Linked DNA regions of Mus musculus: all the other regions are reported to be linked to region 4. The links are microRNA targets in miRTarBase. Many come from high-throughput screens and were not tested one by one. Region 4 holds a microRNA gene; each other region holds the end of a gene's coding sequence.
What was found. The annotated mature microRNA mmu-miR-425-5p reads AAUGACACGAUCACUCCCGUUGA and lies in region 4 at 2,319-2,341, shown strand. An mRNA with a match to its seed (bases 2 to 7 or 8) in the 3' UTR can be bound and repressed. Matches are read on the target gene's strand: a 7mer-m8 pairs with bases 2 to 8, a 7mer-A1 pairs with bases 2 to 7 and ends in A, and an 8mer does both.

Region 1 (7,934 bases), not on the chromosome of region 4:
ACAGTGTGGGTAGAAGATATATTGGCTTTGCTGTTATCACTTTCAATATTTCCACTGAAATCTAGAAATATATTAGCTGGGAATTCTACAAGTCAACCTGGCATGAAACAATCTACCCAGACAGACCCAGCTTCTGAAGTCATGATAGAGTCGCCACTATTTGTCTTTGGTCTGATTAACTGAATAAGACATTAGGGACACGGGTCTTGTGAACTCAGTCTTAAAAAATTCCCTTTTCAATGCAATAAAAAAATCTCACTGCACTCTGCTTCTATACACTTCACAGAGGGCTGTTAAGGACATCGATAATGCAAAGGCTAGTTAACGCATGGCTGACTTTGTGATAAATGGGTTGGACTACAGTAACCATAGATGCGGTCAAACACTACCCTGTCTGTGTAAGTATTTTCTAAATGAGATTAATACTTTAGTAAAAAGATTGAACTAAGTAGTGTACCACCTTATCTTCACCTCGCCGCTGGGCCTCATCCGACCAGCTGAAGGTTTTAATAATAAGACTGACCTTAGAGGAAGGGGTTTAACAGACGGGCTACCTCCAGGTCAAACTGCAGCTCTTCTGCAGCAGGGCTACCCTGCCAGTGCAGGAGTGTCGTCAGTTCCTTCACATGCCTCTCTTTGCATACACATCACCCTCTGTCTCTATGGAGAAGCATGATTGACACAAAGTTTAACCAATCTCTGCCAGGATTTTTGGTTTTCTATGTCCATGAAAGGATTTTATTTTACTGGAAAAAACTTAAATCATGGCCATGCAACTTGCTTGGCTAATATGAATCAGAAGTGAGTGGCATCAAGTCGAAGCAAAAACACAAAAGCTAGGGAAGGAGTCTTTTCTTCTTCTTTCTTCTTCCTTCTTCTTCCCTCCTCCTCCTCCTCCTCCTCCTCTTCCTCCTTCTTCTTCTATTTTTTTGGTTTTTCGAGACAGGGTTTCTCTGTGTAGCCCTGGTTGTCATGGAACTCACTCTGTAGACCAGACTTGAACTCTGAAATCCGCCTGCCTCTGCCTCCCAAGTGCTGGGATTAAAGGTGTGCACCACCACTGCCCGGCTACGGAATAATTCTTAATACTCTCCCGCGTGTCCACAGTAGAGCTTTACCTATAGGCTCCTGTAACATCAGAGTTACTGGTTTTAAACCTTTAGGATTTGGAGACTGCCTCTAAGACACCACTCAGGAGGGGGACTGTTCTGTCTGGCCATTTACTCAGTAGTACACAACAAATTCTTAGCTTTTCCTTTTTGTTGTAATTCCAATAGGGCTTCGGACAGAAACACTGAATAGTGTTTGGACTAACATATGCAGTTTGTGGTAATAAACCCGCTTCTCTGAAATTATTTTACGCAGGCTTTCACAAACCGAGTCCTCCTTTAACCAGTTTGTGTGTGTATGTGACCAGGATCATTTCTACTAGAAGGCTTAGAATAAACAGAGCCCACGTGGACTTGACCAGTTTTGCAAAGTAGGCCTTGAAAACTTCTCTATTTCAATTGTTCAAATGTTGGATGATTTTATAAAGTTCTAAAATATGTTTACATTTCTGTCTGCTACAGACCTTAAACTACTACCAAGAAAATAAATCCTTCAATACTTCAGATGATAGCATTCAAACTGGTGTGTAATGGTGTGAGGGCAAAGATAGCATGAGAATTTAGCTAAGTCAGAAAATCTGGCTTTTGTTGGATAGATAAAAATGTGTAAAAACAGGAAACCAACAGACCCATGAACAATGCATAGATGGGAAAGATCAGATTTCAAGGTTTTCCAGTTCCAAGTTTATCTGAAATTTTAAGGTATGAACATAGCTGAGACATCAAATGCATTTATGAACTATTTTAAAATCCTGTCCCATCTAAAAAGACAGTGTCAGGTACTTTCTCCTATAAATAGCCAGACTTGCAAGTGACTTCCTATCGTGCACAGGGGGTAGTATCTCACTTATTCATTTAGGGTACCACATAGATCCTGTCCACAGCTGCCATTCAGTGGGCGCTGATCATCAACATCATTTCTTCCAACTCCCCTCCCTAGTTAGCTCCTCTAACTTTTCAAGAAAGTAAGTGTGGTGGCTTGAATTTTGGCCCAGAGAGTGGCACTTCTTTGGACATGTGTCGCTGAGGCGTGGGCTTTAGCTTGTCCTAGCTGCCTGGAAGCCAGTCTTCTCCTAGTGGCCTGCAGATGAAGATGTAGATCTCTCAGCTCCTCCTGCACCATGCCTGCCTGGATGCTGCCATGTTCCTGCCTTGATGATAATGAACTGAATCTCTGAACCTGTAAGCCGGCCCCAGTTAAATGTGGTCCTTATAAGAGTTGCCTTGGTCGTGGTGTCTGTTCACAGCAGTAACAACTAAGACAATAAGCAAGCATCACTTGAGGCTGTCTCTTGCCCTATTACATAAGAGGTGCATACTGTCCACCCTGTCCTTTAGGCAAGACTTTGTGGAATCACAAATGGTTGATCAATGGAAACACTCATAACTGCTTGGCCAACTACAGTAGACACGGCAGCAGCTCCTGGGATAAAACCCCCTGCTGGACATTATTCAGATCAGAGCACACCTAGCCGTGTACTCTCAGAAGCCAGCTGATTAGAACAGGTAGCTGCTGTGGAGCACAGCCGCTTGAAGGTCGTGAGGGAAAAACTGCAGTTGGCTTCTTTCACCAATAATTTGTTTTGGGGCAGGAAAAACAAATAAAACGTGACAAGCATAGATTGGCTATGAGAACTCCAAGGTTGAGATCTTCCCACAAGAGGAACAAGCCAATACACCATTTTCTCTTAAACCAAAAGTCACTGTAAAGACGGGCATGTATGCTAATCTGCACTGAGGGACAGACTGGCTCCTTGGCCTGGAATGCTGTCATCCAAGAGGCACTGTGAATATCAAAGACAGTTTTCCCACAGTGCTTGTTTCTAATGAAGCTGACTGTAGCCTCCAGGGTGATGCGGCTCACACTTAAGTCGATGCTGCTGTTTCCAACCTTGAGGAAATCCCTTAAGCATTTGTTACTATCTGTCACATCATTAGGAACTCCTCGCATGCATTACATATGGCCTCAAACATGATGCTCAAGATGTGAACCCTGTCTGCAGGCTGAGGGGGAACATGGTTCAGACCACATGGCCGCCATCTGTATTTGTACTCGTCTACAGCTCTGTTTGGGATAAACACTTTTGAAGTAAGAATTGATTCAGTCTGCAAGATTAGCCAAGGAATAGCTCACAGACCAAAACAAAATATGAAGGCAGATAGTCTGGAAAGCAAGCACAAGTTCTGTTTCCTGCTAGACATTCTGTTTTGTCACGGCCCAAGAGAAAGATGGTGGCAACTGTGGTTGGGGGCATAGGGACACGGAAAATGTATTTACTCAAGTGAAAAATTTTCACCCTACAACAATTGTCTTTGCTACCATCCAACTGAAAACCATTCACAGACCACGAGGAGACTACAGTTAAAAAAAAAGTAATTTTACCATTTACAATTTGTTTCAGAATTCTATCACAAGAAGGTATGCACAGGGGACAACATGTGCTGGTCCAGATGCATAATATGGTTATTACCATAAAAATGGTAGCATTTCCCAAAGTCCATCTTGATTAAAAGCGGTTCCATGGATGAAAACAATATTCTGCAGTAGCGCTATTAAGCTAGAAATGGCAAGAGGGAAATAAAGACCTGCAGGCTGGAGGGGAGGTCAGGGAAGAAATGAGCAGAGCCGGGATGTTACAGACTGCTGGAGATAACAGCAGGGCTGCTTTCAGGGCAGCTGAGGGGATGAATGAAGGGATGCAGTAACCTGGCGGCCTCACACACTCTAAAAAACAAATGAGAACATGTGTGCTCCACTCCGAGAGACATCCATTTTCTCCTTTAAAGAAGCCATTTATAAAAGAGCAAATTGGTGATTTGTACTTACACACTGGTGCCTTTGCAAGCCCCTGTCAGGAAGTGATGAATTACTGAAGCTTAGGATAAAGTGTTTTATTTTCAGTGTGCACACCATCAAACCTTACTCCTCTCTTTCCTGAGTTATTAATTGTTTCTGATTACTATTTAAATTAGACAAATGCCATATATACACCTCTCCAGAAAGCACACCCTCCCTCCTTAGCTGTCCATCTGCCTCCACTTCCTCCAGCCGGGCAATTGCTCTAAAACTGTCCGACCTCCCGAGACAGGGATCTGTTTAGATTGAAGGAGGGTAAGGAAAGCCCTAGCGTCCATGCAACCAAAGCACCCACACACAGTCCACAGACAGCACAAGCCCGCTCAGCGGGAGTCACGTGACCTGAAGGCCAAGAATACAACCCTTTCCCCAAGGCCACTTGCTAAAGCAAAAAGCAGGAGAAACTTTCGCAGCCGAAGCTCAGTGCCTGGAAACTGAGTCTAAGCACTCTGGGCTTGCACCACCTCAGCCACAGCCAGTTTCTCAGGAACAGTAGAGCTCCTCCCCTGGCTGGCGTAACCAGCCATTGCACCAACACTCTCAACAGGGAGCAAGTTAACATGAAGAGTCTAACTGCACAGGAGGCTTCCAGGCAGTGTCTCACCTCACGTGGCTGACCTTTCCAATTCCTGACTCTACAGTTGCACTCCTTTGTGGAGATACCACCACTAACTAGGTGACTAAATAAACAGCTGATTTTCTGACCTCTTGTCCCTTTATAGCCCAAGGCTGAAACCATATGACTTTCTATCTACCTGCTTTAAATGGTACGGATGGTGAGTAGAGAAAGAGACAAAGGATGCCTCCAGAATGCTTGATCACAGGTTCCGGGATGTACCACTTAGTCAGCTGAATACGTAATCAACCAATGGAATGACAGGGCAGGAATCTTAGGTAAAATAATCCTGGAGAAACAAACTGTTTTAGTTTTAGCATTCTGTACAGGCAGAAATGATAAAGACTGAGACATAAATGTGAAAAACTTAAGAGTCGATCTGTAATGCAATACCTCTATCTTATTCCAATGTCAATTAAACAAACAAACAAACAAACCCCCACCAGCCACCATGAAAACAGGCCAACTAAGATGGTAAGAGAACCAAAACCACTTCATCTATCCATCTCTGAAGAGCACTGCCTCCTGGTGTCTTCACATCCGCCTCTTCTGTGTACTTATGTACAGCACTGGAAAGACAAGAGAACGAGCAGTCACTCGAGGGGCACAGCATCGGTTCAGTTTTAAAGGCATTCATGGGTCCTGGCCTACACCTCGAACACTTTAAAAGACTGTTTCTACCATGCAATGAAGGTCTCTATAAAACAAGCTTTGCGTCTAGACCGGGCTTGGACATCTTACCTGATTATAACTAGTCTTATCTATGCATGTTACTGACTTTACAAATTATGACTGGGAATTAGAAAAGTGAAAGTGCCTAAAATGTAAGAATGATTTGTAAATAGCTATATCACAAGTTTTGAAAAGGGCGAATCAGCCAGATCTGTTAGGTTAGGTGTCACATTCAGAATGACTAGCACATGTGTCTGGAGAGACGACGCCCATCACTTAAGAGCAGATGTAACTTGCAGATGTTACGGAGCAACAGGGCTGGGTCCCCAATTCCTACAAAGCAGTTCACAACCAACTGTAAATCTAGTTCCAGGGAGTCCAGTGACCTTGTGTGGCCTCCTCAACTACCAGGCACGCATATGATGTACTTACAGACATGCAGACAAACACTCATACACATGAAAAAAATGTAAAAGAAAGAAATGGCATTATTTTCGTTTATCTCCCCAGTTTACTCTGTAAATTGGTTTACTCTGATAATTTCCATAGGAGGAAAAAAATGAGAAAACATTTTTAAGAAAGCAAAGTCCTTATTCTGAGATTAGTATAAACCTTTGGTGTCATCCAACATGTATTTTCGCCAGTCATTCTTAGCACAGTGGAATGTGTGCTGCACAGAGATAGGACAAAAGGGGCTCTGGTCAGGCTGTCACCTAAGGTGTACCCTCCCTCTCCCATCCCACACATCTTCAGATACGAACAAGCTTGTTCAAAGTGAACAGTAGATGTTTCCTCAAAGAGTCCAGCACAGACTTCAATCAAGTGAACTAGGATCCTCTTTAAGACCCAACTACAAGTAGTAGGAATAATGACACCTGTTACTGAGGATGGCAGTAAAGTGTAGGAGCCATCAGAATAGGAGGAAAGCCACTGCCTGGGAAACCAGACAGGCTAGGTGGATGTCAGTGTAGGAATGGCTCCTGCTATGGGGGCTACTTAAGAGCATAATATTTCCAAGCAAAAGGAGGAGGGCAAGTAAGAATAACATGAAATAGAAGAAATTCTACTGAACTGCAAGCAAGGTATGTCTACAAAAGTCAGGATATTTAATTCCTAACGAGACCTAACTTTTAAGGCTTTTAAGAAGAGAACTTGAGAGCCACGCCTTCTGTCCTACTTCTGACACACGGAAAGGTACAAAGCTCCACAAAAGGCACCTAAATCTTGAACAGAAAAAGGACAAAGGACAGGCTAAATGTCAAGGGCGTTTTGTGGCACAGGATGGCTTCCACTCCCAGACAGCACTGCGAGAGTACAGTATGTGGTTGTGTGCCGCACACCCTCTGGGTCCCTGGTCTAATGGGCCTGCTTAGTATACCAATACCCCTCAGCAACTGAGAAAGAGAATTTCTAGTTCCAACCTCCATGGAAAATCCTCTTCCCACTCACAAACAGACCTGGTTTATACTAAAGACCTAAAATATAAGTACAACAAACAAGCAAAAGTAAAGAGAACCTTAACACTTAGACGCCCCGCAGCTCCCTATTACACGCAGGAACGGCCTATTCTGAACACTCAATGGAAGGGAAGCTCTTACCATTGTTTCCTCGGATGAACGCATCTCCGTACTTATTCTTCAGCTGTCCATTTACATACTCCTCTGTCTGTTCCAGGGCTATATTCATGTAGCCATCCAGGCAGGCCAGGACCCCTGGAGAAAAGTAAGACAGAATTCAAAATTACAGGCTATATCTTAGAACTGACAATCACTTTATTCATTAGCCTTCAGACACATAATATAAAAATTCACACTGTAAACAAAACTCAATAGACTTAAACACAAAAGGCGCCTGCCTTTCCTCGGTGCCCCTGTGAATGAAGGCTGGGCGGGCAGAGCATGAGAGGAGCTGTGCATCCACCACAAGACAGGCAGCCAACTGTCACTCCCTCCTGGGACGTGTGCTCACCACAGCAACTTTGAAAGCCTTCACAAAAGTATAAGCATTAGAATATTCCAACCAAAATGCCCTTCTATGGGAGCCCGGGACAGACATGGCAACTATGCAGGGACAAATGAGCCTCCATCGAGGTGACATTTGTTACTTCAGCCACTCGCTCGCTCGGTGAAATAGGGATCTGGCAGTTTGTCTCAGTCTTTCACAACATCTACTGCAGCAGATGAATGGACCCAGGGTGAAGAGGAAGTCTCCACAATCTGTTAAGATAATAGACAGCAGGTGCTCCTGAGAGACCATCTCAGAGCTGTGGCTCTCAGCGAGGAGCAGCTTGGGAACAGAGAGCAACATATTGCATTACAACACACTGCATTCTGTTTTGTCAGAGTTGGACTATTTTTAAAATCAAAACTAATAGAGAAAAACGGCTACAAACATGCCAGGGAGCTTTCAAGGAAAACAGCTCGGGTGGATTTTTACTCGTGTTAAGATGGCATAAATTTCTAAAATCTGACCAGAAGATTTTTTTCAAAAGATGAAGCTAGTAAGCTTCTAATTCTCATCTCTAAGCAAAACTGATATTTTAAAAGAGAATAAAAACACACCACAGATTCAATTCAATTAACTAAGTCAATAGTCCCATTTAAGATCTTAACTTCATTAATATGCTCCTGGCTCTCTGCTCTGCCCCCATTATCCTCTAGACAGAGGTTTCTTTTCAAAT
Region 2 (7,934 bases), not on the chromosome of region 4:
GTGTGGGGTGTAATATCCCTCCTTAACCCTCCCATACGGGAGCACCAAGACAGCAGATCTTGCTGAGGTGGCCCTATGCCTTTAATCCCAGCACTCAGAAGGCCAGGAGTTAAGGCCAGCCTGATCTACATAGTTCCAGGACAGCCAGAGCCCTGTCTCAAAACAAAACCAAGCAAACAAAGACCAGATCTTATTCTTTTATACTTATTTATTAGGGGAAGGGTAAGTGTGGGTGTGAGGTCAGAGGACAACTTTCAGGAGTCACTCTGGTCTTCCACCATGCGGGTTCCAGGGGAATGGAACTCAGGCTATCAGGTTTAGCTCAAAGCACTTTTAACTGCTGAGTCATATTGTCGGCCCTTCATTTTTTACCTGTTTATTTTTAGACCAAGAACCTAACCCCTGAGAAGGTGCTGCCCTCAGCTGAGTCTTCCACTTCAATTAATCTAATCTAGATTATCCTCACATGTATGCCCTGGTGCCAACTTAGTCTAGGTGCCTGCACACAGGTGTGCCAGGAGCTTTGCCTCCTGGGTGATTGTAGATCCGGTTAAGTTGGCAATCGGTCTCGATCATCAGGATATGAACCCAGGGTTGGGGAGCCATTCATGCAAGTGTGAGACAGGGTCAGGCAGCAGCCTCCTCTTGTGTGGGCATCAGTCTTCTCGCCACTTCTGCCAGGGAGGCAGGGAGGCTCAGCAGTCCATGGGGAGACACCAGATCTGGTTTTGGCTACTTTGACTGACTTCTGGTAGCCAAAGGGAGTTGGAGGGTGGAGTCTGCTGTCAGCAAGGCAGGGCCAGGCACCCTGGCACCCTGGGTAAGGAGGTAATGGTGAAAGCTGTGAGGGTTCAGAAGTCAACGAGACCTGAGATTATGAAGGCACAGGACCTGGGCTGCTGTTCATCCCAAGTTTGCATCTCTGCTCTGAGAGTGGGTGGGTGATACCTTAAGTTGTTCTGAGCCTCACCTACTTCTGTAATGTTCTTTTCAGCATGGGTGTGTGTGTGTGTGTGTGTGTGTGTGATTGATCGATCCTGATCTCTCTCTCTCTCTCTTTTTTTTTTTTTTTTTTTTTTTTTTGGTTTTTTCGAGACAGGGTTTCTCTGTATAGCCCTGGCTGTCCTGGAACTCACTCTGTAGACCAGGCTGTCCTGGAACTCAGAAATCCGCCTGCCTCTGCCTCCCGAGTGCTGGGATTAAAGGCCTGCACCACCACGGCCTGCTCGATCCTGATTTCTTTTTCTCTTCTTCTCCTTCCTTCCCTTCTCCTCTTCCTCCTCCGTCTTTTTTTTTTTTTTTTTTTTTTTTTTTTTTTGAGACAGGGTCTCTACATAGTCTTGGCTGGGCTGTCCCGGAGTTCACTATGTAGACTTAGACCAGGCTGGCCTCAAATTTAAGAGATTGCCCTGTCTCTGCTTCCCAAGCACTGAGACTAAAGATGTGCATCACCATGCAATGCTCAGTATTTCTTCCTCTTTAAACAAGGATGTCCATTCTAGAGTGTTCTGAGGTAGTGTAACAGAACAGTGAGGTACTTCACGTGCTGAGAGGCAGCACAGCTGGAAGCAGCAGACCAAGGTCTAAAGATCTTTCCCCTCACCAGCCAGGACCCCTAAAAGTCAGCCTGGAGTACACACAACCAGTGGAAGGCAAGCAGAGGTTTATAGAGTGCCCCAGGGCCTGCTGCTGCCTGGATCACCATTTTAAAGAAAGGCTTCTGGCTGAATGTGGTCAAAGAGGTGGACCAGTGGTTAAGAGCCTGAGCTATAAAGTATAAAGAGAATTGGGAGGCAAATGGATCTCCAAGTTCCAGGCCATCATCTTGGTTTACAAAGCAAGTTCCAGGACAGCCAGGGCTACACAAAGAAACTCTGACTTGAAAAACAAACAAACAAACAAAGAGTTCTTAGTGCTCTTGCAGAAGGCCTGAGCTCTGTTTCCACCACTCAGCTCAGCCAGTTCACAATCACCTGTAACTGCAGTTACAAAGGATCCAATGCCTCTTCAGGTCTCCACAGGCCTCTGCACTTAAGCATATATCCACATACAGACATGTATATATAGTTAAAAGTTATGTATTGATTAAAAAATGCAACACCTTACAGGGCAGTGGTGGCGCACGCCTTTAATCCCAGCACTTGGGAGGCAGAGGCAGGAGGATTTCTGAGTTCAAGGCCAGCCTGGTCTACAGAGTGAGTTCCAGGACAACCAGAGCTACATGGAAAAAACCCTGTCTCAGAAAAAAAAAAAAAAGCAACACCTGTTATTCCCAGTACACAGGAGGATTGTGAGTTTCTCAGTGTTTAATTTGCAGATCAGATTTTTTTGGCTGTTCTAGAACTCATTCTGTAGGCCAGGAGTTAGGAGACTCGGGCATCTAGCTGGTGTGTACAGAGGTGTTGCCTGGGATTCCGAAGAGAGGAGGTTCTCTGGCTAGGTTCTCATGCAGGCATATATAGACAGAAAATAAAGGAGGGAATAACAGAAAAGACCACTGCCAAGTTCTCGTCTCAAAATATTTAATTTTGTTTGAAAAGGATACATTCCCAACTTCCCTCCATAACACATCACTCCGGCCCACCAGCAGGGACACACTCGCACAGGCACACACACACATGTAAGGCCAAAGGGCTGCTGTCTGCTTCCACCTCTGCAGCTGGGACAAAGGGCTTTTCTCCTGGCCTCTTTCCCACGGCAAAGGTAGGGAGAGGGGCTGCTGGAATGCAGCTCCCAGGGAGGATGCAGAGCCCACACACTCTACCAATCACATGCACTTAGAAAAATAAAACCAAGTGGTGTTCTGGCATCCAACACCAAAAGACAGCAATCTCTACCTGGAAATCATCTTTGCCTTTTTCTAGAAAATTTTATTGCACTTAATTAACAGATGTTAAAGAAGCTGTGGGTAGGGCTTTGCCCTGGAAACCAAGAGCTCCTCTTACAGGCCCCTCTTACAGGGAGCACACCTCTCGGGGGGCCCCTGGAAAGCTTCCCATCTGTCCCCAGGCTGGAGGACTGTAGGAGCTGCCTGAGTGGAAAGCAGACCACAGCACCATCACAGCAGGGAGTATGGACCAAGGGTTAGGGTCACTGTCTAGTGCTGTCCCTAACCAAAGGAGTCAGACCCACATAACTTAGCCTTTGGGCTGAAGATAAAGGTGACTAACAGGTCCTCCAAAGGGTGGCTCTTTCCAAAAGCACGTAGTTCTTTATCAAGACATCTCTTGAATGTACATTCCTGCAGGGTTCTAACTCATTCAGGTGTCTTTTCTGAGGCTGCCATAGCTGAGAACAGGATGTTTAGGAAGTGATGACACTTCTCATCCTAAGACAAACCCACGGAAAGCCAAATAGAAGTTGGCTTCTGGAGCCTGGTTACTCCTTAGAATTCAAGGATCCAAGTGCAAGAGCTTCAGGCTTCAGCTGTCAGCTCCTAGAGGGAGTCAGGAGACTTCCACAGCAAGATAAAGAGCAGAGCTCAACTCTTTCTGTGCAGCCTTGGGTCCTAAAGCCAACAGAGGAGCCAAGCTTATGTGAACACTTTGTTCTCCAAGATGTCAACCTCTAGGCGTGCTCCTTCCGGTTTGTTTCCCTGCCGCTTTTCATTCCAGAGGCTTCTCCAAGAAACAAGCAGACAGTGACTCTGTAAGCACTTAGGAGGAGCCAGAACCCACTCCCTACTTCTGGAAGGAAAGGAGGGCACCACAAGGCAGAACGGGGACTAAGGGGAGACGGTAAGGCCCACCCACCCACTAGGGTCAGAACACAGATGGCATCCAGAGATAAGTATCCATTCCTTAAAACTAAAACTTAAAAAACAGAAACCTTACATTTTCTAGTCAAAGAAAACGAAGAGATTTTCAGCTCAAGGCTTGTCCACCAGAAACAAAATGAGAACTGCCTCTGGGTGAACAGCCAGCCCAGAGAATAGTGCTGGGTGGGTAGGAGGCAGGCAGCCCGGGCAGACACTGACATGCTGGATGCTACTGCCCTTTGTAGTTACAACAGAGACAAGTGTGCACACGGTTCCTAGAGAACCACAGAGTCAAAGTCAGGGACCTAGTAGGAGGGAGACCTCCCTTAGCCTTAGGGACCTTTGTCAAGTTCCCCAGAGAGGTGGTGTGCAGGTCCCAGGAGGGGCAGGGCATCTCCTGGCTGCAGTCCATGGCCAGTAGACAGTCTGCCCTGGTCTTAACATCATTATGAAAAGTCTTAAAAGATAGGGGCCCCAAACTAAGCCACCATTTAAAATAAAGCCAGTGTTAAGTATAATGAAGCACCCTCATCACCTCTGTCTCCTTCACACAGGCTGCCCGCCCTGAGCAAACAAACACACCCTCCTGGAGGGTGCCCTCATGACCCACATGAGTAGAGGGTTCCATGATGTCCAATCCAGCCAAATAGAAGAGAAAAGTGCAGCTGTGAGGGAGCCAAAACTGCAAGAAATCACTCTGCCCCACGGGGAGAGCTGTGTGGGCACCCTCCGACTCCACAGGGACTGCAGGCCAGTGTAAATGTCTCCAGAGCCTGCTGTCCCATGAGAGCTGCACTGTAAGTAACTTCAGCAAATACAACTCATATACGGCGGCCTGCTGATACCCATGGGGAGGGATTCTAATCTGTGACGTGGCAGGCCCTCTTCTGCCTTCAGGGACACTAGATTCTGGCCTGGGTATATTGGTGAGCCAGAGCAAGGGTTCCATGGAGCTTCCCAAGAGAAAACCCCTCGGTCTGGTGCCCACAACAGGAGACTGTGGAAGCCAGTTTCCTAAACACCATGCAGAAGTGGTACCCTGGGGCCTGGAAGCTCAAGCTTCCTAGGTGATAGGTTTTCTTCTTAAACCTAAGAACTGAGAAGGGATACTGGGTGAAAATAATCAGAGACCAAGCTAGTGGAAGTCATGAGCCTTCAGAATGGCCCAGAGATACAAAGGCGCTGGCAATTAGACCCCAGAGACCAGACTTCCTGGAAATTTCTCTTCCATAGCAAGTGGGATGCAGAGGAAACTGATTCCAGGGCCACTTCAGGCCTGAGAGTCACAAGACAAAAGTTGGAGCTAAGAATGGTTGGGTGCATTTCTACCACAAGCCCCAGCCCCACCCTAATTCCAGGCTATCCAGAGACCCCACTTGTGTGGTCCACCACCCTGTCTATACTAACAGGATTAGCATGTCCTGGCTCTGAGACAGATGGGAATGAATGTTTCTCTCAAAGATTTTGGGGAGGGTGAGGTACATGACAGACACACCCCAAGTGGAAATGCACCTGCTACCTGAGACGACATTAGGGTGACAATAATCATGACTCATTCTGTAGACAGCCCTTGTCAGTCCAAACTGGAGACTGAGGGGAAGGCTAGGAAAGCCTGAGCACTCTGTACAAGAGAACCTGGACTCCAGAAGGCCCCTTCTGATTCAGCTGGAGCATCCAACAAAAGAGACTTGGGCCATTTACCCGTCTACGTAGATTCGCTCATGTTCCCCATCGGAGAGGATCTTGGTCCCCTGGGGAAGTCATCACATGTGCTGGCCATGTTATAATGAAGCTGAGACGTGAGTGCTCCTAGAGCAGGTACGCCACCATGTGCCCATGAAGAGTCCTAAGTCTCCACACGAGTGGGGTCCAGGAAGCCCCAGGCAGAGGTCTGAGGTGCAGGCAGTGCCCTGCGGGGCAGGGGCACAGGTTACAAGGGCCCGTACTTGGTCTCGTACTTGGACACGATGGTCTTGCACTTGCCCACCTCCTTGCGAAGCTCGGCAACCTCCGTCCGCAGGGCTGTGTTCTCCTTCTCCAGGAACGCTGCCCGGATGGTGATCTGGTTCTCCTTCAGGCGCCTGGCATCCCGGGAGCGTTTAGCTGCCACATTGTTCTTCTTACGTCTTGTCCAATACTTTTCATCCTGTGGGAAAGTGTCCTCTGTGAGTGTCTGGTATTCCCCCTAAGAGAACTTAATCTTTCCTTCCCATCCCCAAATCCTCACACGCCCTGCCCCTCCTCTGCACATAGTTCAACGTTGTGGTAAGAACTCCAGACCCCAGAGAAGGAATAGTGTGGGACACTGCCTGTCCTTGAGGGGCAGGTGCATGGTGGGGACCAGGGCTGCACCGACAGCTCTGTATAACTGTATAGCTGTGTGCTCAGCCCTTGCTTAGGCATACTGGTGGTTGTTAACATCTCTTTCTCTTCTTTTTCTTTCTGTCTCTTTTTTTGAGTCAGGCTCTCTCTCTCCCCCTACCCCCTCCTAGGTACACTTTCTCTGTGTACCCCTGGCTGTCCTGGAACTCACTCTGTAGACCAGGATGGCCTTAAACTCCCAGCAGTCTACCTACCTCTACCTTCCAGTGCTGGGATTAAAAATGTGTGCCACCACAGCACACTTAGTATTGGTTAAAAGCCAACAACCTAGGTGTAGGTTAGTCCCCTGAGATCAAACCTGACTTTACAAGACCATGTAAGAGAGAGGGAGGAACAAAGAGGGAGAGAGTAGGTGTGTGCGCCATGGTGCTTGGGTGGACGTTGAGCCAGCATTTCTCAATCTGTGGGTCATGACCCCTTTTGAGAACAAACAATCCTTTCACAGAGGTTGTATTTAGACCATCCAAAAACAGGTATTTGCATTACGATTTATTTATTTGATTTTTTGAGGCAGGGTTTCTTTGTATAGCCTTGGCTGTCCTAGAACTAGCTCTGTAGACCATGCTGGCCTCAAACTCACAGAAAGCCACCTACCTGCCTTTGCCTCCCACTTACTAGGATTAAAGGCAGACACCACCACTAAGATACATTACGATTTAAAATAGTAGCAAAATTACAGCTGTAAAGTAGCAACAAAAATAATCTTATGACTGGGCATGGTGGCGCACGCCTTTAAACCCAGTACTCAGGAGGCAGAGGCAGGCAGATTTCTGAGTTCGAGGCCAGCCTGGTCTACAAAGTGAGTTCCAGGACAGCCAGAGCTACACAGAGAAACCCTGTCTCAAAAAACAAAACAAAACAAAACAAACAACAACAAAAAAATCTTATGGTTGGAGGTCACCCAGGCCTGAGGAACCGTATTAAAGGGTTGCAGCATTAAGAGGGCTGAGAACCGCTGCTTTGAGCCATCTCCCCAGCCCTACAAGGTGTCTTTTGTCCTTTAAGACTGTTCAATCTTAAACCAGGCGTGGTGGTGCACATCTTCAATCACAGCACTCGGGAGGCAGAGGCAGGCGGATTTCTGAGTTCGAGGCCAGCCTGGTCTACAAAGTGAGTTCCAGGACAGCCAGGGCTACACAGAGAAACCCTGTCTCAAAAAAAAAAAAAAAAAAACAAAAACAAAACAAAAAAAAAAAACAAAAACAAAAAACCAACAACAACAAAAAAAACCAAAACCAAACCAAAAAAAACAAAACAAAAAAACCCCCATAAAGTCTGTCCAGCCTTACTTTCTATCTAAGGTTTGAGTCTTACTTTCTAAGTCTGGTGACTTCTCATACCAAGGAAGTGGAACTAAAACACCCAAGCAACCCTGGGAAGAAGGGAAGTAACAGAGTAATTAGGACTCAAGTCATACCTGAGCACTTCTTCCCATCAAATTACTGCTGATGTGGCTTCAAATAGAGAACTCCTGTCTATGTGGTGTCCATCGTAGGAAGGGTTCTCCATATAAAATCACATATGAGGAAGCACAAGGTCTACTCCAGTTTTCTTTCCCTCCCTCTCCTTTTGCTTTTATGAGAGATCTGCCTGCCTCTGCCTCCCGAGTGCTGGGGTTAAAGGTGTATGCCACACGCTCAGCTTCTTTCTCTGTGTGAAGAGCTAGAGATGGTGCTCTGGGCCTCATGTGTCCCAGGCAAGCACTGCAAAGCTGAGCTGTGCCAGTGAGCTGCACTACTCAGAGAGGGCAGAGCTTACCCTAGACTCTTAAACCACTGTTGTGTCTTTAATCCAG
Region 3 (7,934 bases), not on the chromosome of region 4:
GTCCCTATGGGAAGGACAGGATACACGTGCTCTGGGGGCCAGGCTGCCTGGAGAGCTGGCCTCTAGGAGATGGACCTTTCCCTGCTCTCAGCTTTGGGGTTGGGGATGCGTGATAAATGGGAGCCGAGTGGTGCAAACCTCACACCCATTTGTATGTTTGTTTTCTTCCTTTAGTGCTGTAAATACTTGGGCCAACTTTGGAGGCCCCACTTAGACTCACTTCTGGATTTAACTAGGCCTGCCAGTGTCCCTCGTTCTGTGCCAATTACTCTACCTGCTGGTGACTTAGTTGCCCACATTTATAAAGTTACACTGAGGTGGCAAACCCACAGGGCTTGTAAAGAGTTGACCAACCCATGAAGGCATTGTGCCAACGGGAGCCTTACCAGGCCGTCAGAGTAGGGGAGTAAGGATGGTGGCTCGTACCTACTAACCTTCTACTTGGGAGAACAGATCAGGAGTTCTTGGCCAGTTTCTGTTACATAGCAGAATTAAAAAAAAAAAAAAAGATTTATTTATTTATTTTATGTATATGAGTACACACTGCAGCTGTCTTCAGACACCCCAGAAGAGGGCGTCAGATCCCATTACAGATGGCTGTGAGGCACCACAAGGTGGCTGGGGATTGATGGTTCTAGCAGGAGAGCACAGCTACTCGTTATACTCAACTGGAAACTGGTTCTCCTCTATTCTGGGAAGTTTGTCCTCTTAGACCTAGTGCACTGGAAGCTGCTTCGGGAGGGACACACATAGAGCAGTGAGGGAGGAAGGGACACCCACCTAGCCAGCCAGATCAGCCTAATCAACACTGGCAATCAATGGGGTGAGAGATGTCGCAGCCAGATCACCCTTACATCCAGTTGCTAGGAATTAACTCAGGACTTCTGGAAGAACAGTCAGTGTGTTTAACCGCTGAGCCGAAATCTCTCCAGCCCCAGTTACATATAAATTTAAGGCCAGCCTGGACTACAGGACATCATCCTATTAGAACAACAACCACCAACCAACCAAACAAACAAAAAGAAAAAAAAAAAAACAGGTGGAGGGAATGGGGGTGTGAGCTCACCCTGAGCCTTGGAAGAGAGGAGTCTGTGTGCGGTGTGTGTGTGTGTGTGTGTGTAGCTTTTCTTTAGGACAGTCAGTTTTGTGTCTCCAGCTCCTGGGGCTCCTGAAGTGTATAAGCCAGGGCAGGTGACTGTGATGTGATTTTACCCTCTGAAGGTGTGCTGAGGGCCTCCAGGGCTTCTCCCTCAGCAGTCCTAGCCAGGAACATCAAAGCCAGACTGAGAAAGTCTCCAGTGCCCAGGGTTCCACCCTCCAAAGCCACACCAGGGATACTGGGAGACAGGCAGAGACAGAGGTACTTGTTGAGTGACAGTTTATTGGTCCTTAGCATTACATCTTAATTCCAAGTGAAATTCACAGACACAACTGCAGATAAAAACATGTAAAATAATATAAAAATAAATTGAAGGCTACTTTTATATATTTACTGAATTAAGTAGTGTAATAAATACTATAATAAGCAAAAAGTTTCAATCACACAATTCAGTTTCACTGAAGTTATAGTAGTGTTTGTAAATATGAATTTTAAAATTTAAGTTACAAATATTAAAGCATTGAAAAACTAGTATAAAAGTGAATTTTGGCACGTAAGTGAGCTCTTCATTAGTATGTGACGGTGTGGGATAGTGGGAAAGCCACCCCCACCTATTTTTTGAGGTACAGCTATCCAACTAGTCAGCAGCATGGCTGGAATACTTAAGTTTACAGTCTTTGAATTGAACTTTTCCCTTTTGAGAAGCCAGAGCTTTTTACTGTGCAAAAATTCTCCAAAATCCTAACAGGATTTAGGAGGGACGTTTTTATTGATCACAGCCTGAAGGGCTGGTGTCTGGGCCTCAGGTCAAAGAGCCTGAGGCCTTGCTGGGCCTAACTTGCTTGCAATGTTTGCTTTCTAGTCTCCCTCCAGTCAACAAAGGGAAATCCCGCAGGAAAACAAAACTGCCCATAACTTCAGTGACCGCACCACTATCACACTCACTCTGTGGTAAGAACTGAAGCTGCTGACAGGAAAGCTGGGAGAAAGCCGGGAGGGCTTCTGTCTGTCCTGGGAGCTGATCCCTAAAATCCTTGCTGGGTCCATGATACCCACTTCTAAGATCAGAGGCTAAGACTATCATGGCTTCCCCCGCTGGAGATAGCCTGAGACCACACTCTTGGACTAGAGGAATCAAGTGGGTGTTAAACCCCACATCAAAGTCAAGGGACCTGCATGTCGTTGGGATCGGCAGAGGAGCAAGCAGATCCCTCTCCTAGTCCTCAGAACTCAGTGTGTGGTCGCTGCCCCCCAGTTCCTGAGCAGGCTAGGGAGCACCTATGGAGGCTTCGGCTAGCTTGCCCTCTTGGCTTAGAAACTGCTGAACGTTCGTTCTGCTTTTTCTTCAACCACAGTTTCATATTCAAGTTGAGGTAATCGGTTTTCCCTCTAACGAACGAGAGGAATGGGGGCAGTGGGGCAGGTTGGTGAAAGCACATGGCTATGGACAAGGGTCAGAAACCAAGCTCACCACGTAGCACAGCCCCAACCCCTCTTTAAAAACTCTTTTTGTGCAGCAGCCAGACTGCCAGGCCAAAGCAGCCGAGCTCTTAATCCAGAGCTTCCACTGAAAACTTCACAGTAACTCTGCAGGAAATGAACTGGCCTGTGGTTCTCCCCCACCCCCCAAAGAAAGTAACATAGCTTGTGGTCCCCTGTTCCCTTTGCTAAGGCTGCTAGCTCAAAGTTTAGTTTTTAAAAAGAGCTTGGTGAAGATAAAGGGAGCTATAATAACTCATTGCTTATTAATCAATTGCACTTAAGATCTATGCTGTTGACCCCCAGCCCGAAGTCAGGGACTCCCAGACTAGAGCTCAACATGAGGGCCTTGTAGTTTGGAGCTGGGACTGAAGCATATGGGCCTGAGTTTCACAAGCTTTTCCTTCTTTCTTCTTTTTTTTTTTTTTTTTTTTTTTTGGTTTTTCGAGACAGGGTTTCTCTGTGTAGTCCTGGCTGTCCTGGAACTCATTCTAGACCAGGCTGGCCTCGAACTCAGAAATCCGCCTGCCTCTGCCTCCCAAGTGCTGGGATTAAAGGCGTGCGCCACCACACCCGGCTTCACAAGCTTTTCTTAATGCAAGATTTCTGACCCAATGGGACTTGTAATTTAGTTCATTCAGCTTCCATTTTTTTCCCCCTAACACAAGTATATTTTATTGACAAGTCCTTGATTACTACTTTGCTATTTGTCCAAAGAGTGCCATGTTACCAGGCACACAGACCCATATGCTCCATCTTACCTCTCCTCTGTGCCAGGGCCCTTTCTCAAAAACCCTTCTACATTACAGAACACTATGCTGGTTTTACTATGTGCTTCTTCTAAGGCATGCAAAAGGTACATGAAACTCAGAAAACATTTACAGTCCAGCAGCAGAGGCACTCAAATCCTAGCAGACGTCACCTTTAATGACCTTATTCCTCACACTAATTAGCAAGGTCAGTCTTGGGAATGCAAGTTAGTTTACCTTTGCTGTTCGGTCCAACCTAAATCAAAACTACTGGAGGGAATTCCAATTTGGATATCAGAATTTTTCAAATTCCTGGTCTTTGGGAACCAAGTAAACAAATTCAGGGCCAGGGGCAGTTTTGGGAGGTTTTCTGAAATGTATTAGCAGGAGGTGGGGAGGCTGAGTGCTAGAGACCAACAGTCCCCAAACGGTTAGACCCTGGGTCCAAGCTAGTTATAGGATATCCACCTCAACAGGGAGGGGAGGCACTCCAGGGCTCGAGCAGCATGCCTGCTCTTCTCCCTAAATTAGAGAACCAAGTGATGCCACAGAGAGGAACTCAAGGACCAAACCTCCCAAGGTGCTGCAATTAGTGACGGAGCCTTGCATTTCTAGAAAGCATCGTATCTCACTTCCATTCATCCCACAGAAGTGCTCTCATCTAGAAGGCATTGTGGATCTCTGCCTGGCCACTGCTTAGGGAACCAGGGTCCTTCTAAATACCAGCAGCTACACCAAAGGCTTCTCCTCGGCCTTACATGGTGTCCATCGGTCCAATGGAATCTTTTACCAGACACCCAGAGCTGCTGGTTCACAGGGCAGTGCTAGCTAGCTGCTCATCCTGTGCCCGCCCTCACTCAGTGGTCCACACAATGCCTTTCATGGTGCAGAGAGAAGAGAGAATAAAGACAACATGTACTACACTGTCAGGCACAGGCCAGGGAGGACAGAGACAGCCCCTTCAGGAGGGGCCTCCAGGAAAGCTGGACACCCATTCATTCATTCATCTCTGGTAGGCACAAGCCCAGCTTTCTCTAGGGCTTCGGCTTCTGCTCAAAGAGGTCCCGGTATTCCTGCTGCTCCAGCTCCCGGTTGTACCTCTCGATCTCCCGATTGGCCTCTTCCACATAATCATTCATGAACTGGTCCATGACTGGCACCTGGTTAAGGAAGTGAGGTGTAAACCTGGAGGACGAGAAGGGCAGCTTTCTCGAAAAACCACAAAAAAAAAAAAAAAAAAAAGAAAGAAAGAAAGAAAGAAAGAAATAAAAGAAAGAAAGAAAGAAGGGCAGCTTATCCTGGGGATCTTGTGGGCAGGTCTGGCATAGGAAACCAAAACCAAAGTATCTGCCACAAAGCATCATAGCCACAATGATGGTAGCAGGTATTGCCAAGTCCCCCACCCAAGCCTTTGGGTTTTATCAGCACACTGAAGCTCGGAGGCCCGCATTGCATCCTGTCCATCTCTTCACACATGGACTGCTCTAACAGGCCATCTTCAATTTGTTTGTCATAACCCTGTTGTTATCAATGCTGCCTACAAGCCACACTTCATAGAGTAAACATTACAGCTGCTCAGTAAAGGGCAGATTTAACACCAACATGGAATGCGTGCCTGTGGGGTTTATCCCTGCCAGGCCTCCAGGACTGCAGACCCTGCCTGCTCCTAGGGCATAGCTGTGGTGGTCCTAGCGACCCCCAACCCCCATTTTGCAGGAGATCTTTGTATCTCCCAGATCTTCATACTACAACCCAACGGTTTCCAAGGATACGTGGGTGAAAATCAGTCTTGTCCCCAAAGAAGTTAACAAACTGGGTGCCATTGTAAAAATAGCCTGCAGGTAAGGGGTCCAAGTGGCGTTTCACCTGTTGGAAAAGAATCCTGTTGCATTATCTGACAACTTTTTATCATTTCATTTATTCATTCATTCAAAGCAAATAAATAGTGCTGGTTATGGTGGCCCACACCTTTAATCCCAGCCCCCTGCAGGTAAAGGCCAGCTAACTGCATAGGTAGCTCAGTAGTTAAGAGTACCATCTGCTCTTTCAGAAGACCCAGGGTTAATTCCAAGCACATCCATGACCTGTAACTCAGTTTCAGGGATCTAAACCTTTTCTGGCCTCTTCAGGCACCATGTATACTGCACAGACGTTGGGACTAGTGACAGCCCATGATGGGGCTCTGGCTGTGGCTTTTGGTCTTTTGTCCCAAGACCTTGATAAAAGGCCTCCAAGGGCATGAGCTTGGGAAAGGAGCTTAGAAGTCAGTCTGCCATTAGAAAGGTTCACCCAGAAAACCTCATTTGGCTTAGTATCCCATAGCCTTCCCATGAACAGCTCTATCTATACAGCTTTCTTCTGGGCCTCAGATGACTTCTGTGCAGTTCATCTTAAGCAGAGATCTTGTACCACTACTGACAGGTACCAGATCTTTTCCACTTCATCCACAGGTCTCAGCAGCTGTGGCCACTCCACTTCCTGAAGCTACAAGGTTAGGCTCCTTGACCACTCCCCCCTCCCCCCTTGTCTCCTGAGAGAAGAAAGACTGCCAGGACATCCTACAAATAGGCCCTTACTCTGGGAACCCAAGACAGCAGAACAAGTCTAGCACAAGCCATGGAGGGGACGCTAGGGCAGGACACTCACATGGATGTTCTTGATCTCTTGCTGGGTCAGCATGCCCCTGGTTTTCAGAGCTTTCCTCTGAGGCCTCTATGCAGACATAGAGAAAACAGACATTTGAACAGAACTAATGGAGCACAAGGGTAGCTGAAGGCTCCAAAGAGACTGGGGCCAGTTACATCTCAGAGATCCCAGCGGAGGGAAGAGTGCAGGAACTGGCTCTCATGGACATGCTATTTGGCTTTTCTGTTCCTGAGGAAAGGATTTTCCCACCAGAGTTCTGCAATATAGCCAGGACCAAATGGTAGCCAAGCCCAGTGCTTTACAAATAGGCACAATCCTGCTTCTTGGCAGATTCTTATGCAAAACTCACAACAATGACAGATAATACGCAAAAGTAGCCTGAAGTTCCACAGTCTATAACATTTAAGACCTCCAAAACAGGGAGTGGTGACACATCCCTGTAATCCCTGTACTTGGAAGGTTGAAACAAGAGGACTAAAAAATTGAAGGCAGTCTAGTCTATATAGTGAGGTTCAGCCTGACCACCACAGCTCTAACACCCAGCCTCCTAAAACAGAAGCAAAGGCAGAGGAAGTGATCCACAGGAGACAGCTCACAGCTCCTAGAAGACGATCACCGGTGTATAAAAGATCCAGGACCCAGCAACCCTACTCCTGGAGTTCCAGGATAAGCCAAAGCACCGACGTTCCCTGTGTCAGGAGGCTGAGCACCCACAGCTTCTAGAGAACCTGAGCGTAAAACAATACACAGTACTGGGGCCGGAGAGAGAGTTCAGCAGTTAAGAACACTGGCTTCTCTTCCAGAGGACCTGGATTTGATTTCCAGTGCAAAAATTATCTGTTATTTCTAGTTCCAGGAGATCTGACCTCTTGTGGCCTCCACCAGACATTCATGTGGTACAGACATACATGCAGGCAAAGTACCTGTACACATAAAACAATGAAAACTACACTATCACCTTTAATCTCAGCACACTTGTGTCAGGAGGAGCTCTGAGTTTGAGACCAGCCTAGTCTACAGAACAAGTTCCAGGACAGCCAGGACTGCACAGAAAAACTCGATCTTAGAAACAAAACAAAACAAACAACAAAAAACCCAAGCTGGGTGAGGTGGTGCATGCCTTTGCACCTAGTACTAGGGAGGCAAAGGCAGCTGTGGATCTCTGAGTTTGAGGCCAGCCTGGTCTACAGAGTGAGTTCCACAAGAGCCAAGGCAGAGAGACCTTGTTCAGAAAAACAAAACAAAACAAAAGCCCCCCCCAATACAGTACTGCCATGTCTGCCTGGAGTTTGCCCCCAAAGGCTTCTTCTAATCCCAACTGTCCCTAAGAGTGTTGGCTGAGTCTTGGGGCATAGACTGGGGCAGGGGGGTGTCAGAGGGAAGGGTGAGAGACTCCGAAGGGTGTGCTGGTCATACTCAGGCTCAGCAGTGTATATTTTGTAAGTCACCTGCTTAGCTGACTGTCGAAGCCAGTCTTTGAGGCTGTCCTCCTTCAGGGAGCAGCCAATGAACACAAGGTAGCATTCTGGCTGCCCGTTGTCTTGGGGGCTGCTTCTTGAGTTGGGAGGTGGTGTGGGTCCCTCCAAAACTGGCACAATGGTCAGGGAGTTGGTTAAAGTATTGTGGCAAACCTCCATGGTCTTTTCAGAATCTGCACAGAGAACATATTTGTCCTTGAGACCAAATACCAAAAGAATGTTCCACAGGAACAATGCTGACAGGTTGACAGATTCCTAAGAACTGGCACAATGGAAAGGATGGGGTACAAGTTTTTGACTTGGTTGATATGGGTGGTCAGACACACTGTTACCTAGACAGAGGGACATAAGAGGAAGAAAAGGCCAGGTAGGCAAGAGGAGAAGCTGGACCATTCCCTATGGCATCTGCATTGACAGTGACACTCAGGGAAGTGGCAGCCTCTCTTCAGGGCTGGAAGGAGGGCTAGAAAGAGGCCATGGGTG
Region 4 (7,934 bases):
AATAGGCAACAAAATAAAGCTAAATTTGCTAGGAGGGAGTGGCTTCTGGCGCTATTTAAATTTCAATGTAGGGGAGAAGGCTCACGTTCCACTGGACCACCGTCTGTGGGAGCAGCACGCAAGGGCCAAACACGCGATTTCCGCAGATAGTGAAGCCTCTGCTACTGTAGCTGTCGATGTACACGGCCTGAGGGAACTCGCTTTGCAGCAGTGAGATGCGAGTCCGCTGGTATAACTCATCGTCCGCCGGAGAAAGCCGGTGTCCCCGACGCGGGTTCCTCCTGCGGAGGGCTAAAGTCAGGAAGTCGTGGCCCGGCCGGACTATGCGGGATTGAAAGGTCCGAGGCCAAGTGGTCAGAGGCTGGACAGGGGATGCTCACCACAGCCGGTCGACGTGCCGACAGAGCGGCGCAGGTCGCGTTCGGAAAAGGCAGCGAAATCCTAGAGCAGTAGCCATGGCTGCAACGGCGCTTAACGACCCGGTCGTAGGGACAGAGTTGTCTGTCTCAAAGTAGCCACAGCGCCCCTTGCGTCCCGGAGGGCACCGCGCACCTTGAACGGCGCAGTAGGCCAATGCAGAGCCTCTGTCTCCCCATGCGGGTGTGTCAGCACCTGTCGCCCACCCCGCCCCATGCCTCCAGCGACAGTCCCTAAGGAGGAGGGGGAAAAACACCTGCTAGTACGGGCGCCCTAAGGGTATTGTTTAGGCCACTGCCGCGGCCTGTTCCTGGGATTCTCAGCCATTATTCGGGCTCCCAGGGACCAGGGCGGGGCAGCTGCGCACCTGGTCCTGTTATGAACACCTGGCCAGGGTGTGGTGCCAGCCTCCAGGCCCTTAATCCCAGGCTTTGGAGAATCGGGCTCCGGGGGCGGGGCAGATGGCTAAAATTTCCCTAGCTAGTCTCGAAATCGCTGCTTTCCCCAACCGTCACCAGCGCGACCGTTGGCGACGGCGCAGCGCTCCATGAGAGGCGTGGCCGAGCATGGATTGGCTTCCCGGCAGCGCGAGGGGGTGTGGCCAGATGGTTTCTCCTTAAAATGGCTCCAAGTCTGGGGACAGCTAGAGCCAGCGGAAGGGCACGCCGTGGCAGTGCTGGAGTAGCTGTTCGAGTGGGACTGACTGGGCCAAACCGGACCAGACGTGAAGTAGACCGCGCCTGGAGCACCACCCCGCCCTTGCGCGCTCTGCGCGCGCGTACCGAGAGTCTCCCTCCCCCTGTCTTGAGCTGAGTCTAGGGCCTACTGGCGCATGAGTCCTTGGCGTCCCGCGGCATGGGCATCTCTGCGCACCGGTTCTGTCCTGGCCTCAGAGGAACTTTGTCGCGTTCTCTATCCGCTGGACTAGACGGGTGGGATGCTTGACACAAATGGGGCTTGGCTGTGGGGTTCTTTGCAGGGCCGGTTGCAATGGGCTTGGGGGGAGGCTGTCCTGCCGCTGCTATGTGGGCCAGTTTGGCCCCTGGCACTTCATGAGCTGGCACCGTCACCAGACAAAAGGTCCTAAGCTTTGGGGAGTCCCAGAAGTGGACACATGGGTTTACTTCCTCTCGGGTCTCACGGAATCGCTTCCCTCTTGACGGATTCCGAAGCCTGCCCGGTACAAGTGGCTCCTGCTTGGGACTCACAGGGCTAATCCAGCCCTTCTGATCTAATCCGGATCAGGACCTCGTCCCGGGGGATGCCCCCACCTTCTATTGTTCTGGGGCCCAGGTGAGCGTCTCATTCTCACTAGACTGGTTTAAAACACCTACTCCTTCCTACTCAGCCCACTGGGAAGGGATGGGCGGGTTCCGGTTTGGCCTCAGGGCGAGTGACCTGGGAGCAAGAGCCCTCCTCCAATGGCTGGACAGCGGGCAACGGAATCCCAAAAGCAGCTGTTGTCTCCAGAGCATTCCAGCTGCACTTGGATTTCGTTCCCTGCTCTCCTGCCTGAGCAGCGCCCTGGCCCAGATAATGTGGTCTCTATTCTCAGAAACACTACACTACTGGGCCATTCTGATCTCCATCTCTCAGGTGCACCCCCAGACTGATGGTGGCAGTCAGAGGCGACGAAAAAAGCTCGGGCTGATGGCCCTGTCTGGAATCCCTGGAGAACTCTGACCAGGGAGGTCCTGGGTCCTCTCTCTGAAGGGCCGCAATGGCGGTGAGTCCCACAAGGCCGCCCAGCCCGCAGCTCGCTAAAGATAGATCTTCACTTCCTGGGGAAAACCCACCCCAACCGTCTTCATGGAGGGAGAGTAGCTAAAATCACCAACTTGCTGGTGGGTCCCAGCCCTGCTAGCAGCTGAACCCACACCACAGCATGGAAAGTGCTTTGGAATGACACGATCACTCCCGTTGAGTGGGCACCCAAGAAGCCATCGGGAATGTCGTGTCCGCCCAGTGCTCTTTCGGCACCTCCCAAACAGGGCCTCATAGCCCCGGCCTTCCCGAACTTTTCCTATCTCTAGATGTCACTCCTCTCCGGAGCAAAGTTCACCGGTTGGATTCATTCATTACTGGGGGAAGTGGAGTTTCACGTTACTTGGAAACGAAAGAGTTTGGACATAGAAAAGCTCACCTGCAGCTTGCTCTACCTGAGAGCTCTGCTTATTTGGGTCTTCTCATCATCACATTTGTCTTAAACTGACCAGTTGCCTAAAGAACCAAAGGTGCCGGTAACACCAGTTTAAAGGAAAAACATTAAAGGCTGGTAATCCTGGAATCATGATGACTAATTCCTCGGGTATCAAGATGGGCAATTCTATCCGATTGGGCTTTTACTGGGAATAAAGACATTCCATACCGCAGCCGAGGAAAGGCGTACCAATAATCAGAACTCAAATTTTGCTTTGTTTCGTTACTTTTCCAAGTAGGCGGTAAAGAGTCTTTAATGGAAGACACGAGTGGTGGCACACACCTTTAATCCCAGTACTCAGGAGGCAGAGGCAGGTGGATTTCTGAGTTCAAGGACTTTCTGGTCTACAAAGAGTTCCAGGACAGCCATGGCTACACAGTGAAACCCTGTCTTGAAAAACAAAGTGTCATTAATGGTACAGCCTTATTCCTTTGACATTTCGTCTCGTGCGTCTGGCCTTTAATTTGTTTAAATGGGGCAGAAAAAGAAAAAAGAGACATAAACACAAAGATGTGAAACTTTGGTGGCAAAGTGTCTTGCCTGGTAACAAAGATCCGTTATCAAAGTAATAATTCGGGGTGACGATTTTTTTAAAAAGGAGGAAAAATGGACCCTCAAATTTGGAGGTTAGGGCTCATGAATACAGGAAAGGCCATCGGGAGGGAGAGCTGGAGGCGTGGGTAGAATGTAAGCTCACTTGGCATGCTCGATCGCTCTGGTCCATTCAGGAGAGTCCACGGCCGGATCCCCGCCCCCGCCAGGCGGACCTCCCGGAAGCTCTACGGATAACTTACTTCCTGTTCCATTTAGTCTTCCGGTCGCCATGGCGACCGGGCGCCTTGGGGTTGGCGAGACGCTGGAGGCCCTTAATGCAGCTGTAGGGCCTGGTAGCCCAGTGTGGTTTAAGGAAACCCATGCCCGGCACCTTCGTGTTCGAGACTTCTTGGCACCGCGAAGCGCGCTACAGGCGCGCTTCAGGGACGGCCAGGTGGGTGCGCTCCTGTGGGGCATGCCTAGCGGGATCCACGGAACTACGGCCCACTTACACACATCTGCCTGCAGGTGCCAGAGTGCGTGTTCCGTGCGGTCTCCTGCCTGCAGGGTCCCGGAGTGGCCCCTGTACTGCGCTGCGCGCCGACACCCGCGGGTTTATCGCTCCAACTACAGCGGCCCGCTGTCTTCGAACATGTACTCGGTGCCCTGGCCTCCTATGCTACTCCCGCCAAACCTGCCTCACCAGGCCCGCGAGTTGTCCTACACTGCCCAGCACTGCGCTGTAATTCGGGGACGCTCCGATTGAGCCAGCTGCGTGCCGTGCTCGTAGCCGATCATCTAGTACGGGTACTGCGTGCTCATGGGTAAGTGCGTGTTCGAAGCTATAATGGCAAAAGACCGAACATTTGGGGATAGAAAAGGTGGGAGTCATGATAATCTAAGCCTGGTCCGCAGGCTGAGACAGCCTCCCTTGCTTTGCAGGGTACGTGTGTGCTCAGTGCCCCCGGTGCGGGACCCTCACATGTCAACTTTCCTCCAGAAACTTCGGGTGGAATGGCCCACTGCCTCGAAGAGCACCTCGACCGAAACACTGAGAACCTGTGTTCTTGCAAACCTTAATGGTTCTAAGGAAGCGACGCTGCCCCCTGGCGTCCTAGGCCGACTGTGTCTGAAGGAACTGGTAGAACAGAGAGGCACTGCTGGCTATGACCCCAGCATAGACCACTGTTTGGGTAGGACAAACGGCAGAACATGGGTGGGGTTGTGTCTCTGCACTGCCAGGCACTTCAACACCTCTTGTTTTCTGTAGTGACTGAAGATGTGCTCTCTGTGCTCTCGGAGCTGCAGGAGGCTGTGCGCCACTGGCCAGAGGGCGGCCACCCAGGCCCGGTGAGTGGCTGCCTTGACCTCTGCCCAAACTGGATTTTTGTATCTTTGTAGTAACTGCCCCATCTCTCCTCAGGCTGGGCGTCCAGATGCTGGTGTAGATGACTGCGTGGTTATACACGTGGTTAGCTGTGAAGAGGCATTCCAGCAACAAAAGCTGGATTTGCTCTGGCAGAAATTGGATGACCGGGCTCCTCACAAGCAGGTTGGTTACCAAAGTTAACCAAACCACCTCCGACCTCAGGCCTGGAATACCATGGGGTTTAGAGACTGATGTGACCATAGGCACCCGTGCTACAAGTGCAAATGTCCTGTGACTATGTAGTCTTAAGAAAAAGGATGATGGTGTCTTGAGGAGGTACGAAGGAAGGCTGGTGGTTACAGATTGGGAAAACCAAGGTAGAAAAGCAACTGATATAGTTCCCTGAAGCGGGGAGGGTAGTGCCAACTGGGCTGAGCCCTTCCAGTCTTTCACAGAAACACCTGGTGTGTGGTCCCGTGAAAATGGCTGGTGTACCCGGCACCCAGCTGACTGCCCCTCAGTACTACAGGTGAGTATGAAAGGGATGCCATCCACAGCCACCAACAGCGTAAAGGTAGGGACAGCTTTCACTGAGACCTTGCTTACTGGCTCGCTTTTCTAGGCTCAGACATGCTCAGGTGTGCGAGGCCTCAGCTCTGAAGCACGGAGGAGACCTGGCACAAGGTACACCTGGGAGATCCTGCGTGTGCGCTGAGGTGGAAGCAGGTCACGCACACCTCTGGCCTGTGTGCTTCGTCTTCAGACACTGACCAGCCTCTCTCGCACCCCAGACCCCGCCTGGACTGAGACCTTCGACATCCTCTCCGTGGCTACCATCAAATTTGAGATGCTAAGCACAGCCCCACAGAGCCAGGTAAGCCTCCCGACACCAGGACGGAGGATGCAGGTACAGAGCCAAGGCCCTCTGCAGCTATGTTACCATTCCCCAGCTCCTCCTGGCCCACAGCACCATCTCAACAAAGGGCACAAAGAGCGGGACTTTTGTCATGTATAACTGTGCCCGCCTTGCCACACTCTTCGAGGGCTACAAACATGGAACGGAGCAAGGTCTGTATCCCACTTTTCCGCTTGTGAGCAGTCTGGACTTCTCACTACTCCATGATGAGGTGAGTGTTGGTCCTGATAAACGTCCACAAGGCTTGGACTTGTCTTCCTAGCACGCTTGTCTCCCGCAGGGTGAGTGGCTGCTGCTTTTCAACAGTGTCCTTCCCTTTCTGGACCTGCTGAGCCAGACTGTGAGTCTGGCCGGCACCCCAGGCCTCCACATCCCTGTCCGCACGGAGATGGTAAGGCACAGAAGACATTTCACACATTATTCTTTATTCTGGGTTGTAACACAAGAAAAAAGACAACAGCTCAACGACTCAACGTCTGTCTCTAGGTATGCAAGTTCCTGGTGCAGCTCAGCATGGATTTCAGCTCCTACTATAACCGAGTACATATTCTAGGGGTGAGCATACAGCAAGGGGGGTCTGCGGGAAATGTGGGCAAGGCTGAGCACACGGGAAATGAGGATGCGCCTGGCTGCTTTTCTTTCAGGAACCTCGGCCACACCTCTTTGGTCAGATGTTTGCTCGCCTACAGCTTTTGAGGGCAGTGCGTGAGGTGTTCCACACAGGCTTGGCTATGCTGGGCCTCCCTCCGCTGAGCCACATCTAAGGGCCCAATAACTGGGAATGTTTATAAAAGCATCAACTGGGAAAGAAACAAGACCTCACAGATGTTGGGCACTTAAAGTCAGAATAAATACAGTTTCATCCTATTGTGAGAGTGAGGCGTGTTCTTGGTCCTCCTATGCAACACCCTACTGGAATACTTGCGAGAACTATGGTACTGCCTCGCCTCCCCAGAGCACACTGAGCGTGACACAGACAGCTGATCCCTGCTCTACTGTCTGCAGTCAGGCCCTGTGCTCAGTTCTCCACCCACTGGGATAACTCAGTCATACCAGTTGTAAACCTCAAGTCCCTGACCTGCCAGAGCACAGCGGTGGCCAAACTCAGGGCTCACAGGCCAGCAGTCCATGTCGGCCACATCTGGCACATGGTACACAGTGCTATTCATGAAGGTGGGCTCACCCTGTCCCAGACGCCAGAAGGTCAGCCGCTGGTCTATGGAGGCTGAGACCATGAGCTTGGGACTTAGGATCTTGACGCCTGTCACATGGGCAGCATGTGCGCAGGGGACGGAATATTCCTCTAGGACACATAACTGGGGCACCAGCTCAGCCTCCCCATCAGCTTCTTCCGGCTCTGGCATCTTCACAGCAAGTGTGAAGACATGCAGGGACCCATCCTCACTGCCACTGGCCACAAGGTGGTGGCCCTCAGGTGTAGGCAAAGTGTGCAGGCTATTGACGCCACAGCTATGGGCTTGCACGGTCATGGAGGGGGTGCCCATCTCTGGAGGAAGAGAGTGGCTGTTAGCTCCCGCTTTTATCTTGTGAGAGAGGTAATGAGGGGTGTCACGGTACTCACGGTAGGGAAGCCCAGGGTGTGCTGGAAGCTCCAGGGTAGTAGAGCCTTTGTCCATTGCCGTGGTGAGATCCCAGAAGGCTAGGCTGCCATCTGTAGCTGCACTGCACAGGATCAGCCTCCTGGAAGCCAGGAGAGGACAGCCAGATCAGTAAAAGGGATGGAAAAACAGGAGCCCTTACCCAACCCACAGAGGGCTGCCTCTCACCGACGCTGGTTAGGTGCCTCATGTGTGAAGGAGTGGACTTTGAGGACACACCGCTTGTGGTGGAAAGACTCAGCTAGGAGATGCAGAATTCGCCCAGAGTCCTGCAGGAGAAAGAGCCTGGGGGCGAGGAGGAGGGGTGGTGGTCTGGGAACCGTCCTGGAGAGCTCACACCCTCCCCCTCCCCTCCCCCTCCTCTGCCCTATGAGCTCACCTCACTGCTCCATCACTACAGGCTGCAGCCACAAGGGGGCCAGGGCCGAGGCCAGGCCTATCGTTGTCAAGCTCACAAATAGCAAGAGACATGTACCTGTAGGGGGTACACACCGGTCAGGTGGGGCCTGCAGTCAGGAGTCAGGACTTTCCTATAACCCTCTCACGCCCCGCCCATGACAGGGAGGCCGCCTTACCTGGTCTCAGGGTCCACCTTGATCATCTTGTGCTTGTTCCGCTGCCGGTCCCAGTACTCATCCAGCCGGTGGGATGAAAGGTGCATGACATGACAGGCAAGGCGGCTGGGGGTGCTAGCGTCCGGAGTGACCATGACGCTGAAGCAGTGAATCTCCGCTCGGCCCCCTGCAGACACTACCTGAGCAGTGAGCCCTGGTCGAGTATCCTGTGGGCCACCTGGGGTGCCAACAGCCCACACTGCCAGGGCTCGCACAGAGGAGATATGGTTACAGACAGAAGTGAGGGCGTGGGCTGAGCCTGTGG

Region 1: miRTarBase lists Lsm6 as a target of mmu-miR-425-5p. The part of its 3' UTR that is shown has no 7-base or 8-base seed match.
Region 2: the mRNA of Tef is a reported target of mmu-miR-425-5p. Seed matches in the 3' UTR shown: 7mer-m8 at 3,314-3,320.
Region 3: the mRNA of 4930402H24Rik is a reported target of mmu-miR-425-5p. The part of its 3' UTR that is shown has no 7-base or 8-base seed match.

The regions. Positions count from the first base shown.
Region 1 is chr8:78,803,095-78,811,028 of GRCm38, forward strand. Lsm6 (LSM6 homolog, U6 small nuclear RNA and mRNA degradation associated) reads right to left here. Exons shown (of 5, transcript NM_001191004.1): 4 at 6,853-6,966; 5 at 1,774-5,151. The coding sequence ends at 5,117. Among named protein-coding and RNA genes, the nearest start is that of Lsm6, 14 kb to the right of the region's middle.
Region 2 is chr15:81,821,435-81,829,368 of GRCm38, reverse strand. It overlaps Tef (thyrotroph embryonic factor), which reads right to left. Exons shown (of 4, transcript NM_017376.3): 4 at 2,506-5,903. The coding sequence ends at 5,688. Among named protein-coding and RNA genes, the nearest start is that of Tef, 14 kb to the right of the region's middle.
Region 3 is chr2:130,704,839-130,712,772 of GRCm38, forward strand. It overlaps 4930402H24Rik (RIKEN cDNA 4930402H24 gene), which reads right to left. Exons shown (of 37, transcript NM_029432.2): 34 at 7,422-7,624; 35 at 5,974-6,039; 36 at 5,100-5,193; 37 at 1,362-4,480. The coding sequence ends at 4,362. Among named protein-coding and RNA genes, the nearest start is that of Slc4a11, 11 kb to the left of the region's middle.
Region 4 is chr9:108,566,471-108,574,404 of GRCm38, forward strand. Mir425 (microRNA 425) reads left to right here and starts at 2,307; the gene lies at 2,307-2,391. It overlaps Dalrd3 (DALR anticodon binding domain containing 3), which reads left to right and starts at 3,422. Exons shown (of 12, transcript NM_026378.3): 1 at 3,422-3,605; 2 at 3,680-3,975; 3 at 4,094-4,344; 4 at 4,422-4,501; 5 at 4,575-4,703; 6 at 4,976-5,049; 7 at 5,143-5,204; 8 at 5,312-5,394; 9 at 5,471-5,647; 10 at 5,717-5,827; 11 at 5,923-5,991; 12 at 6,081-6,301. The coding sequence starts at 3,441. The coding sequence ends at 6,200. It overlaps Mir191 (microRNA 191), which reads left to right and starts at 1,849; the gene lies at 1,849-1,922. It overlaps Ndufaf3 (NADH:ubiquinone oxidoreductase complex assembly factor 3), which reads right to left and starts at 966. Exons shown (of 5, transcript NM_023247.2): 1 at 381-966; 2 at 86-281. The coding sequence starts at 457. It also overlaps Wdr6.